Linked DNA regions of Oryctolagus cuniculus. The protein of the gene in region 2 interacts with the protein of the main gene of each other region in a pairwise test. Links are inferred from orthologs where the notes say so. Each region holds a gene or a part of one and is shown on either strand. Other genes may lie near its edges.

What was found. The genes of interacting proteins can lie anywhere in the genome.
Region 1: the proteins of MAB21L3 (region 2) and AGGF1 interact in binary tests that used the Homo sapiens proteins (3 or more experiments, as listed by UniProt). The two-hybrid records come from large-scale screens. The link is inferred for Oryctolagus cuniculus from reciprocal best matches to the Homo sapiens genes MAB21L3 and AGGF1.

The regions. Positions count from the first base shown.
Region 1 is NC_091445.1:1,340,853-1,348,543, reverse strand, and holds the start of AGGF1 (angiogenic factor with G patch and FHA domains 1), read right to left. Parts: upstream 5,169-7,691; 5' UTR 4,848-5,168; coding exon 4,614-4,847; intron 3,262-4,613; coding exon 3,159-3,261; intron 1,558-3,158; coding exon 1,370-1,557; intron 1-1,369. UniProt on the Homo sapiens protein: Promotes angiogenesis and the proliferation of endothelial cells. Able to bind to endothelial cells and promote cell proliferation, suggesting that it may act in an autocrine fashion.
Region 2 is NC_091438.1:54,355,524-54,363,179, forward strand, and holds the start of MAB21L3 (protein mab-21-like 3), read right to left. Parts: upstream 4,120-7,656; 5' UTR 3,932-4,119; intron 1-3,931.

The DNA.
Region 1 (7,691 bases), on a different chromosome or scaffold from region 2:
TGGGTCTCCCACATGGAAGGAGGGGCCCAAGCAATGGGTCGTCTTCCACTGCCTTTCCCAGGTCATTAGCAGGGAGCTGGATCAGAAGTGGAGCAGCTGGGCCTGCCAGAGTGGCAGGCAGCAGCTTAACCGGCTACACCACAGCGTGAGCCCCGTTAATGAATTCTTTTAAGATCCCTCAGGTGCATGGATTTCAAAATTTTTTACACCAAAATAAAATTCTTTTAGTTCCACTTTCCACAAACTTTTTGAAGTACCTTCATATATTATACACAGTGGGTTTCTAATTCACATGAATTATAAAAATAAGTTTATAAGACATTCAGGGAAATTAGAATAGTAACAGGATACCTGATATAAAAAATTTGAAATATTTATTTATTTGAAAGGCAGAGTTAGAGCAGAGAGAAAGAGAGAGAGATCTTCCATCTGCTGGTTCACTTCCCAAATGTTCACAATGATTGGGGCTGGACCAGGCCAAAGCCAAGAGCCTGCGACTTCACCCAGGTCTCCCATGTGGGTGGCAGGGGCCAAACACTTGGGTCATCTTTTGACGCTTTCCCAGGCACATTCAGCGGTAAGCTGGGTAGAGGTGGAGCAGACTGGACTGGAACCGGCACCCATTCGGGATGCCAGTGTCATTGCAAGTGGTGGTTTAGCCTGCTGTGCCACAACACCAACACCACATTAAAACTCCTTAGGTGTGGCCGGCGCCACAGCTCACTAGGCTAATCCTCCGCCTAGCGGCGCCGGCACACCAGGTTCTAGTCCCAGTCAGGGCGCCGGATTCTGTCCCGGTTGCCCCTCTTCCAGGCCAGCTCTCTGCTGTGGCCAGGGAGTGCAGTGGAGGATGGCCCAGGTGCTTGGGCCCTGCACCCCATGGGAGACCAGGAGAAGCACCTGGCTCCTGGCTCCTGCCATCGGATCAGCGCGGTGCGCCGGCCGCAGCGCGCAGGCCACGGCGGCCATTGGAGGGTGAACCAACGGCAAAGGAAGACCTTTCTCTCTGTCTCTCTCTCTCACTGTCCACTCTGCCTGTCAAAAAAAAAAAAAAAAAAAACTCCTTAGGTGTGACACTGATGTTGTGGCTGTTAGCCAAGGCTATTGGGTGGAGTCCAAGATACACTGTCAGACTGTTCCACTTTATGCAGACCATAAAAATTGAGAACATGATGTAACGGGAAAGCAATTACACATAAACAGGCTTTAATTTTTCAGGAACTGCGATATCGCTGCATAACTACACATCAGAACAGTTACCACTCCTCGTGTGCAGTGCCGAGCAGAGACGTGTTTTCTCACACTCACACTCACAGTACGAGGAGGCCAGCTCTCGAGCGCGACCGTCCCGGGCTGCGCACTGCGTTACCTCCGTGTCCGGGGCGAGGTGGTGCCCAGAGGCGCACTCAGCGGGGTCGGCGTAAGCAGCACGCTCTGGCTGTGACTGGTCTGCGGAAGTCAGAGCTGGAGCTTCAGCACGCTGGCACTGCTGAGCCGCGAGTTCCGTGACTTGACTGGGAAGACTGTCATCGTTATAATATGTCTGGTAATAATAATCTGCAGCAAAACAAGCCAAGCGGCGGATTAGGACGGTGCGCATAAAAAGGTCTCCATTCCACAACACTGGCACTGATGACACACACTGTCCACGATTTCTACAGTCTACACATTTGAAAGGGAAGAACTGGCGGTGCAGACTAACCCAGGGACGGACGCATCCGATTCTAACGTCCCCATTCACACCCACCTGTCACGCCGAAGAGGGAAAAAACACAGCACTTCTGGATTCCCCACACTAGCAGGAAGCAAATGGGCAAGAGCAACGCTTAACTTCTCGCCTCATACCCCATACTGCTGCTTATCAGTGACAGCAAAACAAAGCCAAGGTATTAGTGGCTGATTTTCTGGCAATCTGCTCACGAGGCTGACTCCCAAAGAATTTCTATCACACAGATACATAAGATAGTATTACTGCTGTCTGTGGAAATTCAGCTACATTGCTAAGTGATATGCATCTGAGTAAAACAAGACAGCGCTTAATGGGAAGATGACTACTTCTTGTAATCCACAACATTAAAACCCAGCAGCTCACTGGTCTTCCTCACAATTTAACGCCACTGCGAGGCCACGGTGGAGAGCTCACTGTTCAACAAGGGCCTAAGAGACTGTCACTGGACACGTGCCTCAGTGGACGCCCCAACAAGATAACACAGCCCTGTGGTCACAAGGCGGATACACAAGGACGTAGGTGACGCACAGCGAGGCAGAATCCCATAGCAAGCGTGCCAATGAGAACAAATCAGCCACGCCACGATGAGTGTGGCACTAAGGACACATGACCCACGCCAGTGAGAGTGCCAGTGAGCACACGTGAGACACATAGGGAGTGTGCCAGTGAGCACACGTGAGACCCATCAGGGAGTGTGCCAGTGAGCACACATGAGACCCATCAGGGAGTGTGCCAGTGAGCACACGTGAGACCCATCAGGGAGTGTGCCAGTGAGCACATGTGAGACACATAGGGAGTGTGCCAGTGAGCACACGTGACCCACGCCAGTGAGTGCCAGTGAGCACACGTGAGACACATCAGGGAGTGTGCCAGTGAGCACTTTGAGCCACGCCAGTGACAGTGCCAGTGAGGACAGGTGAGACACACAGGGAGTGTGCCAGTGAGCACACGTGAGACACATAGGGAGTGTGCCAGTGAGCACATGTGACCCACGCCAGTGAGAACACATGACCCACACCAGTGAGTGTGCCAGTGAGAACACATGACCCACACTAGTGAGTGTGTCAGTGAGCACACGTGAGACGCATCAGGGAGTGTGCCAGTGAGCACACGTGAGCCACGCCACAGGGAGTGTGGCCCTGAGCACACATCAGCCACGCCACAGGGAGTGTGGCCCTGAGCACACGTGAGCCACGCCACAGGGAGTGTGGCCCTGAGCACACATCAGCCACGCCACGGTGAGTGTGGCCCTGAGCACACGTGAGCCCCGGCCCAGGAGCTGCAGGAACAGAATGTATTTCTACTTTTCCCACAAGAACAGACTGCCGTGCAGACGCCACATCGCAGGGAGAGAAGTCGGCGCTCCACCGCCCGCTGTGCCCGCTGCGCCCCGCTGCGCCGACGGGCCGTGGAGAGCAGGAAGGGGTACCTGAGCGCGCCCAGGGAGCGCCGTCCTCGGTCTGCACCTCCACGTCAGCCTTCCCGCTGGCTCTGCTCCTCGCGCAGTGCAGCACCTTCCTGAGCTCCTCCACCTGAGAGAGAACAAGGCGTCAGGGCGCAGCACCGCCACCCCGCCCGGATGCGCCACTTTCCTGACACTGCAAGAGGTCACGTCTTTTTTAGAGAAGTGCTAAGAACAGCTGGCTTCCTATTCAGAAAAAACTAAAGATGGCATAACTTACTTCCTGTAACATTTACATGTAATCTGCATCGATCTTCTTAAGCTCTCTTGTTAAATGTCCGAAACCAAACCGGAAGAAATTAGGTAACAGGACTTCGCGGGCGGGATTCTTTATTTCTAACAAGAAAGTTTCAATGATAGTATTTCACAAGGTCACTAGTTCTCCTGAAACAGGAATTTCTGTTTGCAAGTGTCGTGACTATCAGTGTAGGAAGCAGCTCCAGCCGCTTCACTCGGGCTCCGGCAGGGCGCTCCCCAGACCGAGCCGAAGCCCCGGCGCTCAGCGAGCTAGAGAGCACGCGGGTTCGGGGCGGCTTCACAGACTCGGCCGGGACCAGAAAAAAATGAAGCAAAAGTTCCACCGCCACCAGGACGCCCGCCCGGAGAGGCGAGCAGGGTGGCGACTCGGGCGCCCTCCGCCCCAGCACGCCGCCCCCGCCCCCGCCCCCGGACACCCCCCGACGACCCCCAGCACGCCGTCCCCGCCCTCAGCACGCCGTCCCCGCCCTCAGCACGCCGCCCCCGCCCCCAGCACTGTCCCCGCCCCCAGGACGCCCCCCGACCCTGGAGCACACCGCCCCCGCCCCCAGCACGCCGCCTCCGCCCCAGCACACTGTCCCCGCCCCCAGGACGCCCCCCGACCCTGGAGCACACCGCCCCCGCCCCCAGCACACCGTCCCCGCCCCAGCACGCAGTCCCCGCCCCCGGAGCACGTCGTCCCCGCCCTCAGCACGCCGTCCCCGCCCCAGCACACTGTCCCCGCCCCAGCACACTGTCCCCGCCCCCAGCACACCGTCCCCGCCCCCAGGACGCCCCCCGACCCTGGAGCACGCCGCCCCCGCCCCCAGGACACCGTCCCCGCGCCCAGCACACTGTCCCCGCCCCCAGCACGCCGTCCCCGCCCCCAGCACGCCGTCCCCGCCCCCAGCACACTGTCCCCGCCCCCAGCACGCCGTCCCTGCCCCAGCACACCGCCCCCAGGACACTGTCCCCGCCCCAGCACGCCGTCCCCGCCCCCGGACACCCCCCGACGACCCCCAGCACGCCGTCCCCGCCCCCAGCACGCCGTCCCCGCCCCCAGCACGCCGTCCCCGCCCCAGCACACTGTCCCCGCCCCCAGCACGCCGTCCCCGCCCCCAGCACGCCGTCCCCGCCCCCAGCACACTGTCCCCGCCCCCAGCACGCCCCCGCCCCGCCGTGCACCTGCGCGCGGAGCTCCTGGTTGCTGGTCTCGGCGCTCTGGTACAGCCGCTCCGTGTGGTGCAGCAGCCGCTCCACCTCCCGCACCTGCCGCCGGCAGCTCCGCAGCTCGCGCTCCAGCTTCTCCACCTTCCGCCGCAGCTGCGCCAGCTCGGGCTCGGGCGAGGCCTCGGGCTCGGGCTCCGGCTCGGGCGAGGCGGGCGGCGGCGGCGAGGGCGACGGCGCCTCCGCCGCCATGGGCGCGACGGGCGGCGCTCAGGCCCGGGCCGGCGCCGGCGGGCCCAGGGGCCACGGGAGTGCGCGGGCGGCGGAGGGCGGCCTCGGCCCCGGCCGGACGCGCCGGGCCCCGGCCATGACGCGCGGACGCTCGCGGCCTGCGGCCGAACGGGGCGGCGGACGGCCCCTGTGCGATCTAGGCGGACCGGGACCCTGTACCGGAGACCCCGCGCCCCGGTCAGGGAGACGCGGGAGGAACGCGGGCGACGGAAGCGGCCGGAGAGCCCGAGCCCAGGCGCGCCGCGGCCGTCAGGCTCCGAGCCGGAAACGAAGCTCGGGGCGGGCCCGGAAGCTACGGCGAGCGGGAAGGGCCTGGCGGCGGGCGAACTCGCGCGTGCGCGGGGCGGGGCGTTCGGTCCGCGGGGCGGGGCTGCGCTCGAAAGGGCGGAGCTCTCGGCCGAGGGGCGGGGCTGCGGCGGGCGCGCTCCCGGGCTCCGTGGCCTCCTGGGCGAGCGCGGTTTCCTGCGCGCGCTGCGGGCCCTCGCCGCTCTCTTTCCAGGCCAGCGCCGCGCGACCTCGCAATCGCCGAGGCCGGGATCGCAGCGCCCACGACGCCAGCGTCCTCAGGGGTCCTGCGGGGCCTGGGCTCGGCGCTGTGGGGGTTGCAGGGCCCCCGGCCGGCGTGGCCCCTGGCGGCCCCCTCTGCCGTGGCCTCGCCGCGCCCCCGGCCCAGCGGAGGGAGGCCGGGCGGGCGGCCTGGCTTTGCGCGAACGAGGCGTGACTTGCGTGCACGCGGTAGATGACGTCTCCCGGTCCGGCCCGCACCGCGGACCCTGCCCTCGTGTCCCTTACCGGACCCCGGTCGAGGCTTCTGAGGGCGCCCCAGCTGCCGGCCCGGCCCGCACCCCGGGCTCGCAGGATCTCACGCGGGGCGGAGCATCTTTCCTCCGCTTGTTCTGGGGTTTGACCCCGGCCGGCGTTAGCGCCTTTCTGAGGTCCAGCCCCGGCGGCCAGCGCAGCGGAACCCGCCTCCCCCGCCTTCCGGCTCTGCGCACGCTCAGAGACAGGAGGACGCCTCCCGCTGCTCCCCTCAGCCCCCGGTTCCTGCGCTGGCCTCTCCGCACGCCACCTCGCGTGTCCCTGAAGCGGTGTGTGAGGCGACACCTGGGTAGCCCGTGGCCAGTGAGGGCCACGGCCGCCATCACACTGGGCAGTCTCCTGACGGCCCCAGTCTGTCCCGGGTCCGTGCCCACGGCTCCCCTCGCCGAGTTCCCCGTCCCCGGTCCGTGTCCACGGCCCCTCCCGCCGAGTTCCCCGTCCCCGGTCCGTGCCCACGGCCCCTCCCGTCTAGTTCCCTCTTCTGGTCCCGGGTCCGTGCCCACGGCCCCTCCCGCCGAGTTCCCTCTTTTGGGTCGGGGTCCACGTCCACGGCCCCTCCCGCCGAGTTCCCCGTCCCGGGTCCGTGCCCACGGCCCCTCTCGCCGAGTTCCCTCTTTTGGGTCGGGGTCCGGGTCCACGGCCCCTCCCGTCGAGTTCCCTGAGGGGAGGCGGCCCCCGGTTTGCGTGGCACTGCTTGCCGTCTGCATTTCTGCCCTGGCACTGAGAAGACACCCAGGCCAGGCTGCTGGTCTAGGACGATGACGGACACATGGTGCTCCAGGACCCCTCACTCCCCCACCCCACCTCACGTCAGCAACCCAGGGCAGTCAGCCCACGAAGCCCCCAGGCTCGCGGGAATGAGTAAGCGAGGGCTGTTTGAGGCCATACGGTGGTAGCGCACACTCAGCCTGACAAGCCACACGGAGCCTGTGGGGTTCCACACAGCTGACGACACCCCACAGGGCAAGAACGCCGTCCACTCAGAAACCCAGTATATGTCCAGTTGTGAAGAGTGTCATAAACTCCGTATTTAACAAGCATGCACCTGTGGTAATACACCGGTCCTCTGGGGAGCCGACCCTCCCCTCCCACGTACCAGCGGATGTCACGGGAATATCCGGAGAGCCACAGCCTCTCAACAGCTCTCACCGACGGCTCCATGTTACTTTTGGTCAACTGACCATTACCCTGTCCCCTGGAGGCCCAAGAGCGGGTGGACGTGGTGTTGCCACACCAGGGTACTAGAAAGGAGGCTGGAGGAGACGGGGTAAACCCCAGCCTGCACGCGTGCATTTGTGAGTTCACTTTGTGCGACTGTGCAGCTGGCTTTCAAAAATTACTATAAACCTTCTCCTCTGCTCTCCTCTCCTCTGCCCCGGGAAGGAGGGCGCTGACCCTCGAGGACGCTGGCTTCTCCACGGAACTAACTGTGGGTCCTCAGGATCCAGCATCAGCGACGTACACCAGACGGCACCTCCTCAGGGCGCCAGGAACGGCCCTTGTGAGCAAAGAGCCACCATCCACCGCGAGGGCTCCTGGAGGGGCCAGAAAGCAGGCAAACGGATGCAGGAGGAGGAAGCCAGCCAGGGCTGCTGGTTCCTATGGGATGCGTCCCTTTAAGTGTTTCCCTAGAGGGGTCAGCACTGTCGCCTAGCAGACCTGGCCACCTCCTGCAGTGCCAGCATCCCAAGTGGGTACCAGTTTGGGTCCTGGCTGTTCCACTTCCAATCTGGCTCCCCGCTAATGCACAGCACGCAGCAGAAGACGGCCCAAGTGCTTGGGCCCCTGCACCCACGTGGGAGACCTGGATGCAGCTCCAGGCTCCTGGTCTAGCCCTGGCTGCTGGGGCTTTGGGGAGCAAACCTGTGGATGGAAGATGCCTCTCCCTCTCTCTTTCTGCCTTTCAAATAAGCAAGTAATTTAAACATTCCTGACTGGAGCCAGCAGGTGGACGGTGGCAGGCACTCCAGGCCTGAGCCACCACTG
Region 2 (7,656 bases):
TCAGTGTTGGAAAATGAACAGCATTTTGGAGAGTGATGGTGGTGATGGCTGCACAACAGTATGAATGTTCTTAATGTTAGAGAACTGCACACTTGAAAATGGCTAGGATGATAAATTTTTAAAACATTTGTTAATTTGAAAGGCAGATTTATTTGATAGATAATAGATAAATAGACTGATGGATCAATCGATCATCCATATGCTAGTTCACTCCCTAAATGGAGGCAACGACCAGGGCTGGCCCAGGCTGAAGCTAGGAGACCAGAGCTCCACCCAAGTCTCCCACATGGGTAGCAGGGACCCAAACACTTGGGCCATCCTCTGCTGGCTTCCCAGGTACATTAGCAGTGAGCTGGATTGGAAGTGGAGCAGCCAGGATTTGAACTGGTGCTCCAACATGAGATGCCAGCATTGCCGGCGGCAGCTTAGCTCACTGAACCAAAATAATGGCCCAAGATGGTAAATTTTCCTATGTATATTTTAACATAATAAAAAGTCTACCATCCATATAGAAAAAGATAGAAAAACATATAATATAGCAAGAAATAGACAAAAAAAAAACCATAAGAGGACAGAAGTTCAAAACATCAATCATGACAATAAATGTCAATGAGTTAAAATCGCTGTAGACGCTGTTGGAGAAAAGATCTCAATTTTCTGTTGTCAACAACAGAGATTATGAAAATGCAACAGTCGAGCAAAATATTTTATGTACCATTTCAAATATGAAGAATAACCATATATGGGGTGGGTGTTGTGGTATAGTGGGTTAAGCCACTGCTTAGGACATCCTCAACCCATCTGGAGTACCTGGTTCAAGTTCTGGCTACTTTGCCTTTCCAATCCAGCTTCCTGCTAATGCACTTGGGAGGCAGTGGACGATGGTTCAAGAATCATCCCATGTGGGAGCTCCAGAAGGAATTCCTAGCTCCTGGCTTTGGGCTGGCTAATCCCAGCTGTTGCAGGCATTTGGGGAGTGAACCAGCAAATGAAGATCTTTGTCTCTCTGCCTTTCAAATAAACAAATAAATCCTTTATAAAAAAATCATATAAAGCATAAATTACTGAGTAGAAAAAGAAGCTGGCAAGAATACAATGGTCCTAGGAGGTAGGTCTTAACACATCCCTTTTCAGTCCTTGACAGATCAAGTAGGTACAGCATTATGAAAATAGATGGACAATTTTACTATATGTTCCAAGAAAATGTGAAACATCACAGCGAAGAGAACCTTAAGCATTCTATATCCTCTGACCACAGAGCAAAACAGTAAGAAAACATTATGAACATAATAACTCCAACTACTTGGGGATTTTAAAAATAATAATAAAACAACAACAACAAAGACCCTCAAAGACAAGCAAGTGTAAAGAAAATAATAGTACACAAAACAGAAATCAGAATGATATAGAAAAATTACTCTGCTACACCAATACTTAAGCAATTTCAAATCTGGTTGAGAGATGACATTTCAAAGGAAAATCAGACATTTCAACAAGAGATGTCATTTCAGAAGAAAATCAATTAGAAAAATTGACTCAAAAAAAAAGTAAGAATATTTTAAGCAAAACCACTACAGAAACCATTATAAAACTGTTCCCCAAACTGCCTCTTAGACAATATGGGTCTCAGTTTACTGATGATTCTTTTCAACTTCTAGGGAATACACAGTTCCCATAAAATTTTTTATAGGGCACCAAAGAAACACAGAAAACACTCCTGGGTCCACATATCCAGACTTTATAAATCAAAACATTTGTCATGTTTTGTTGCTCTTCTTTTGTTGAAAAGGGCAACAGACAAAATGCTACTCATAAAGTTGAATTCTCCTGACTTCCATTTCCTTTCAACCTAATCCTTCTTCTGCCTAAGGAAATACAACTGTCCCGGCTATGGGTCCTCAAGGCCCTGAGATAAAGCTGGCATTTATAATTGGTGGGGACAAGACAAAGATGAGCAAGCCTGGGAGAGAAAACACTCAGGAGCTCAGAGAAGATAAGGAAAAGATAAGGAAATTAAATATTTTTTAAAACCATAAAAAGAGTCAGAAGATGGAGATAACCATTCATCTGAATTTGTGTATGTGAGTGCCACAAGCCAAAGGTGGTAAAAACTTCAGATAACAATTTTAAACTTCAAAATTAGAAAAAAGTTTCAAAATATAGAATGAGCCAAGAACTGGGATAGGAACCCATAAAAGAAATACAAATGGCTAATAAACAAAATGACCACAACTTTAGTTACCAAAACATGCAAATTAAGCCTTAACAATGAGCTATCCCCCTCATCTACTCCACCCATAATTTGATAATCTGCCAAAGATAAGAAAAAGGTAGTGTTTTAGGGTGCTATGGGAAATCTGGCCCTCATCTATTAACAATGACATTATAATTTCATATGAAGATTTTCATCAAAATTTTAAAAATCATCCCCATTGACCCAGTGAGTTTGTATCTTAATTTATCTGAAGGAAACAAGGGAGGTATGCCAACCTTCTGTATGCCTCATTTACAAAAGGAAAAACTAAGCTAAAATATCTAGCAATTAGACATTGGCTAAATAAATTATAATATAGCCATGTAATGCAAGACCTTGCGGCCCTTAAAAAGAACCATAGAAGGGCCAGTGCTGTGGCGTAGTGGGTAAAGACACTGCCTGCAGTGCTAGCATCCCATATGGGGGCCAGTTCGAGTCCTGGCTGCTCCACTTTCAATCTAGCTCTCTGCTATGGCCTGGGAAAGCTTTAGAGGATGGCCCAAGTCCTTGGGCCTCTTCACCTTTGTGGGAGACCCAGAACAAGCTCCTGGCTCCTGGCTTCGGGTCGGCCGTTGCAGCCATCTAAGGAGTCAACCAGTCAATGGATGACCTCTCTCTCTCTCTCCCTGCCTCTGCCTCTCTGTAATTCTGTCTTTCAAATAAATAAATAAATAAATCTTAAAAAAAAAAAAAAAAAGAGAGAGAGAGAGAGACCCACAGACGAGTGGGCATTTGGCTTAGCAAGCGGGGCAGTGCTTAGGATACCTGCAATACTCCACACTGGAGTGGCTGAGTGGAAGTCCTGGATCCTCTCTTGACCCAAGCCTTCTGCTACTGTGCACCCTGGGAGGCAGCAAGGGATGGTTCAAGTGGTTGGGCCCCTGCCAGTCAGTTGGGAGGTCCAAGTGAATTCCAGGTTCCTGACTTCAGCTTTGCAGAGCCCTGACTGTTGCGGGCATTTTGTGAATGAACCAATGAATGGGAGAACTCTCTGTCTCTCTGCCTTTCAAATAAGTAAAATAAAATAAAACAAAAAAATTCTTAATTCCTGAAAAACGTTCATTATATATAGGCAAATGAAAAAAAAATCACAAAACATTCTTGGAGAAAAGGTTAGGAGTGATTAATTCTGGACAGCAAGATTGCATTTAATTTTTCTTTTCCATTTAGCCTTGTGTTATCGAACATTTTTTTTAAAAATTGAACATGTTATTTTTATAAACATAAAAGAGGAAATAATATACAAGCACTAAAACTTGGTATCCAGAGCAGAGGGTGTCGAGATGCTAGGGGAGTGAATAAAGTGGAAAGGGCACAGGGCACAGGACAGAACCCACACGAGATGGAACTGAGCCCTCTAATATTCTTTTGTCCTTGAAATCCCAAGACCTTAAGGAGTCATATTTGATGTGTGGTTGAGCTTGTTTCCTGTTCGCGCAGGGACCACGGCTCTCAGGTTTCCTTACTTCAAACACAAGCTCAAGCTCTGGACAGGTCACACTTCCTGAGCACCCCTGCGGCCAGAAGGAATTTTCAAGGATCCTCCTCTCTCCAGAGCATGACACAGCCCGTGTCACTACTCCTGGCTTTCTCTCTCCAGCTCCCTTGTACAGCCGCAGACCCAATACAAACACACACACACACACAGTCCCAGTTACCTGTCCCCCCAACACTTACCCCTCCAACCGGAGTCCAAAAGAGGGAGAGAGAGGTCTGTTGGCCAGGGTCAGAGGCGACAGTTTTTATATAATCCACTGCTCCCGCCAGGAGGCTGCAGTCTCCTCCCGGATTCCTGGGAAAAGGGGAGGGCAGTCACTTCCCTCTGGGGGAAGGCAGCCAACACGCAGTGTCTGTAGTGAAAACCACAGACAATAAAGAAGAGGGAAATGTTCTTTTAAAAGTCATACTTCCTCAGTTACGTTATTGGTTGGCAAGTGAAGCAGCTTGAGTTTTCTTGCAACAGTTTCCCATCAATTGCATTTTTGGGGAAAAGTATGCCACTGCGGCCAGTTCAATAAAAACACGACCTTTTGTTTTAAAATCACTGTCGGTTTCTGTTGCTACAACTGATTGTAGCACTTCGAATTTCACACACAGGCGTCTCTCAGTAATCCTCACAGCAAAATTAAAGGCAGCATTGTTAACATTTCCTAACACAGATGAGGACTTGCGAGGGTACTCAAAGTGTCTTTGGGGAATATGTTGAACTACTCTGAAGCCAGCAGCTACTAAGCCTCACTTACATGTGAAGAGGAAGGTGAAAGAAAAGTTGGTGGCTCCTGGGAAGGTCTACTTTGCTCTGGGCCTTCACAGTGTGGCTGATCTGATAAGGAAGAGGGTACTCCCAAGAGGAAATGTTTATGTGCCCTGTGCAGATAGCGGAAGCTTCCTCTCCCCAGACAATAGGTTTTAGCATAATTAAAGCACAGGCCAGAGGGACAGCTTAGAAGTTAAAATTCTTTGTGGCTTGGAATTCTTGGACCCAGAAGAAATCTCAGCGTGAGGTCTCCTTTCCCAAAAAAACCTTCCTGGACACCTACTTCTAAATTGTATTTGTGTTTTGAAAGGCAGGCAGAAAGGAAAAGAAACAGGACACAGGGGGGTCTTTCATCTCTGGGTTCACTCCCCAGATGCCTTCAAACAGCCGGGGTTGGGCCAGGTCCAAGGTGGGGATCCTGGAACTCAATCCAGGTATCCCGCATGGGGGCTAGGGACTTAAGTACTTGAACCATGACTCGTTATCTCCCTGGGTGTACAGCTACAGGAAGCTGGAAGCGGAGCAGGGGCTTGAACCCAGGCACTCTGATACGGGATGCAGGCGTCTCAAGCAGCATCCTGATTTCCAGATCCACCCTGGAAAGAAATCCAGTTCTGTTACCAGCTAGCTTGCCAGACTTGGCCCGCGATTTTCTCTAACTTCACCCAGGTCTTTCATCTCTGCGGTACTTCAAACCCCTCTCCCAATTTTTTCTCTGCTCATCCCATTCAAGTCAAAGACTCTGGGAAGGCTTGAGGCTTGAGAAAGCCACTCCACTGGCCTGTGACAACCCCAAGCCTAATACAATGCCTAGCGCACAGCAGGCCCTTGGTACCTCCTGAATGTACCGGGAGGGGTGGCAGGTTAATGGTTTCTTCAAAGCAAATTATGACAGCAATCCCAAAGGGGCACCCTGGAGTGATGGAGCTGATTTTGCCATCTTCTCTTTGAGATCCTAAACTGGATTTGGTCTATCCACAGGGAGCCTGAATCTTGAGGTCTCAGTCAATCCACATTCTGGATTGACAAGCATGCTCTTCCACTCATTCTGGAGGGAAAAATCTCAGTGGTCCTAAAAGACACAGAGGAACCCTCACTAATTAGAAACCTACAGAGTGGACTCCAGAAAGAGCTCACCAGAATATTTGGGCCTTTGCTTCCTTGGGACTCACTAGTGTCTGCTCTTCTCAACCTCTCCCCCTTGTCCCAAAAGCCAGGGAGATGCTGGAGCCATTTCTAATGGCCTTTGAAACACACTTGCCCCCTCCTCTCCTCTTGAATGAACTCCTTGCCAGCAGGCAAGGCAGCAGGGGTAATTAAGAATGTGGGACCTGACATATGAATAGTGGGAACTCCATCCAATATTACTACTTACTAGCTGTGACTCTGAGAATGTTACCTGGCATTGCTTGAATTCATTGCTTTCATCGACAGGGCAGGGATTAAAAAGCTACCTTATGGGGCTGGCGCTGTGGCACAGCAGGTTAACGTCCTGGTCTGAAGCGCTGGCATCCCATATGGGTGCCGGTTCGAGTCCCGGCTGCTCCACTTCCGATGCAGCTCTCTGCTATGGCCTGGGAAAGCTTTAGAAGATGGCCCAAGTCCTTGGGCCCCTGCACCTATGTGGGAGACCCAAAGGAAGCTCCTGCCTCCTGGCTTTGGATCGGTGCAGCTCCTGCCGTTGCAGCCAACTGGGGAGTGAGCTGTCAGATGGAAGACCCTCCTCCTCCCCGCCTCTCCTCTCTCTCTGTAACTCTGACCTCTGACTTTCAAATAAATTAATAAAAAAAAAAAAAAAAAGCTACCTTACAGCCTTGTGAGAATTCTCTGACATAACAATGAGAGGTAGTTAATATGGTGCCATGATGCTGGGAACTCAAGGCATGGTCTTGAAGACCATCCATGTTCCCCACCCCCTCCTCTTCCTCATCACCAGCAAACAGACCCAAACATACTTGTTACCATCTCTTAGAATCCAGCACCCAGAGGAAATGGCACTTGGTGGGTACTCAAAACATCTGGCAAATAAAGAAATGTGATTTTTCCCTGAAATAATCCTTGAAAGGCAACGGAAGATGTCCGAAGCTCAGGCTGTCACTGTTTCTCACTTGGTGTCACTTTATGACCTTTGCCTTCTAAGCTTATTAATGATTCTGCTCCTCTGCCTAACACTAACACTTCACTCCCTGTGACCAAAATAACACTCACTTCACTCTGCTGTTGCCCCAGGTCCTTAACCTTTAACCTCACCATCTAGTCTCCTTATCAGCTGATCCTTATCAAGCCTTTCCCTCTCCTGGGGTATTCAAGGGAAGATCATAAATTCTTTCACTGTGAGAGTGCATCTGCTATGCTGGTTCTGCTATGACAATAGTGAGTCAACAGCAATGGAATTCAACAGCCCAACAGCATTTTTTTGGCCTTGGAAGATGTTTTGGAGTTTACTTATCAATTCATAAATACCTTTTCCTGAGATGTCACAGGATGGGGGCATGCCAGCCTGTCAAACATCCCAGGTAGGCCTCATTCTCAGTTGTTTTCAGGAATTCACTCCTCTGACAAATCAAAGGTGACCTACACTTTGGTCAACACCAGAGAAGCAGCTTCTGGGTTAGCTGGCAAATAGAAAAATCTAAACACTGATTTAAACATCTACTGATTTTTCTTTCTTAAGGTACTGATCCTTAAATGCCTGGAATCAAACCAACAGTATTACTGGGCTTTTTATACACTGTTTCCATTGGGTGAATGATTTTAAAAGACCTGAATGTTACAACCTTGAAGACTATCCAAGGAATTACTACAAAGAATACATCCCTAGAGCAAGTCATCCCTCTATTAGGCAGGGAGATCTCTCAGTTGAAAGGAAAAAATGACCAAGTTCATTTATTCTACAGCTCAGTAGGCTGGATGATGCTCTGGTAGTAAGTCTGTAAGTACACGTACAATGTTATTACTTAATAATCAATTCTTCTGTGCTTATTTCCATTCTCAAGGTAGATATCTTAAACCTTGTTCAAAAGGCTCACTTCTGGGGCTGGTGTTGTGGCACAGTGGTTTAAGCTGCTGCTTGCAACATCAGTCTCCTGTATCTGGAGCACTGGTTCGAGTCCTGGTTGATCTGCTTTTGATTCAGCTCCCTGCT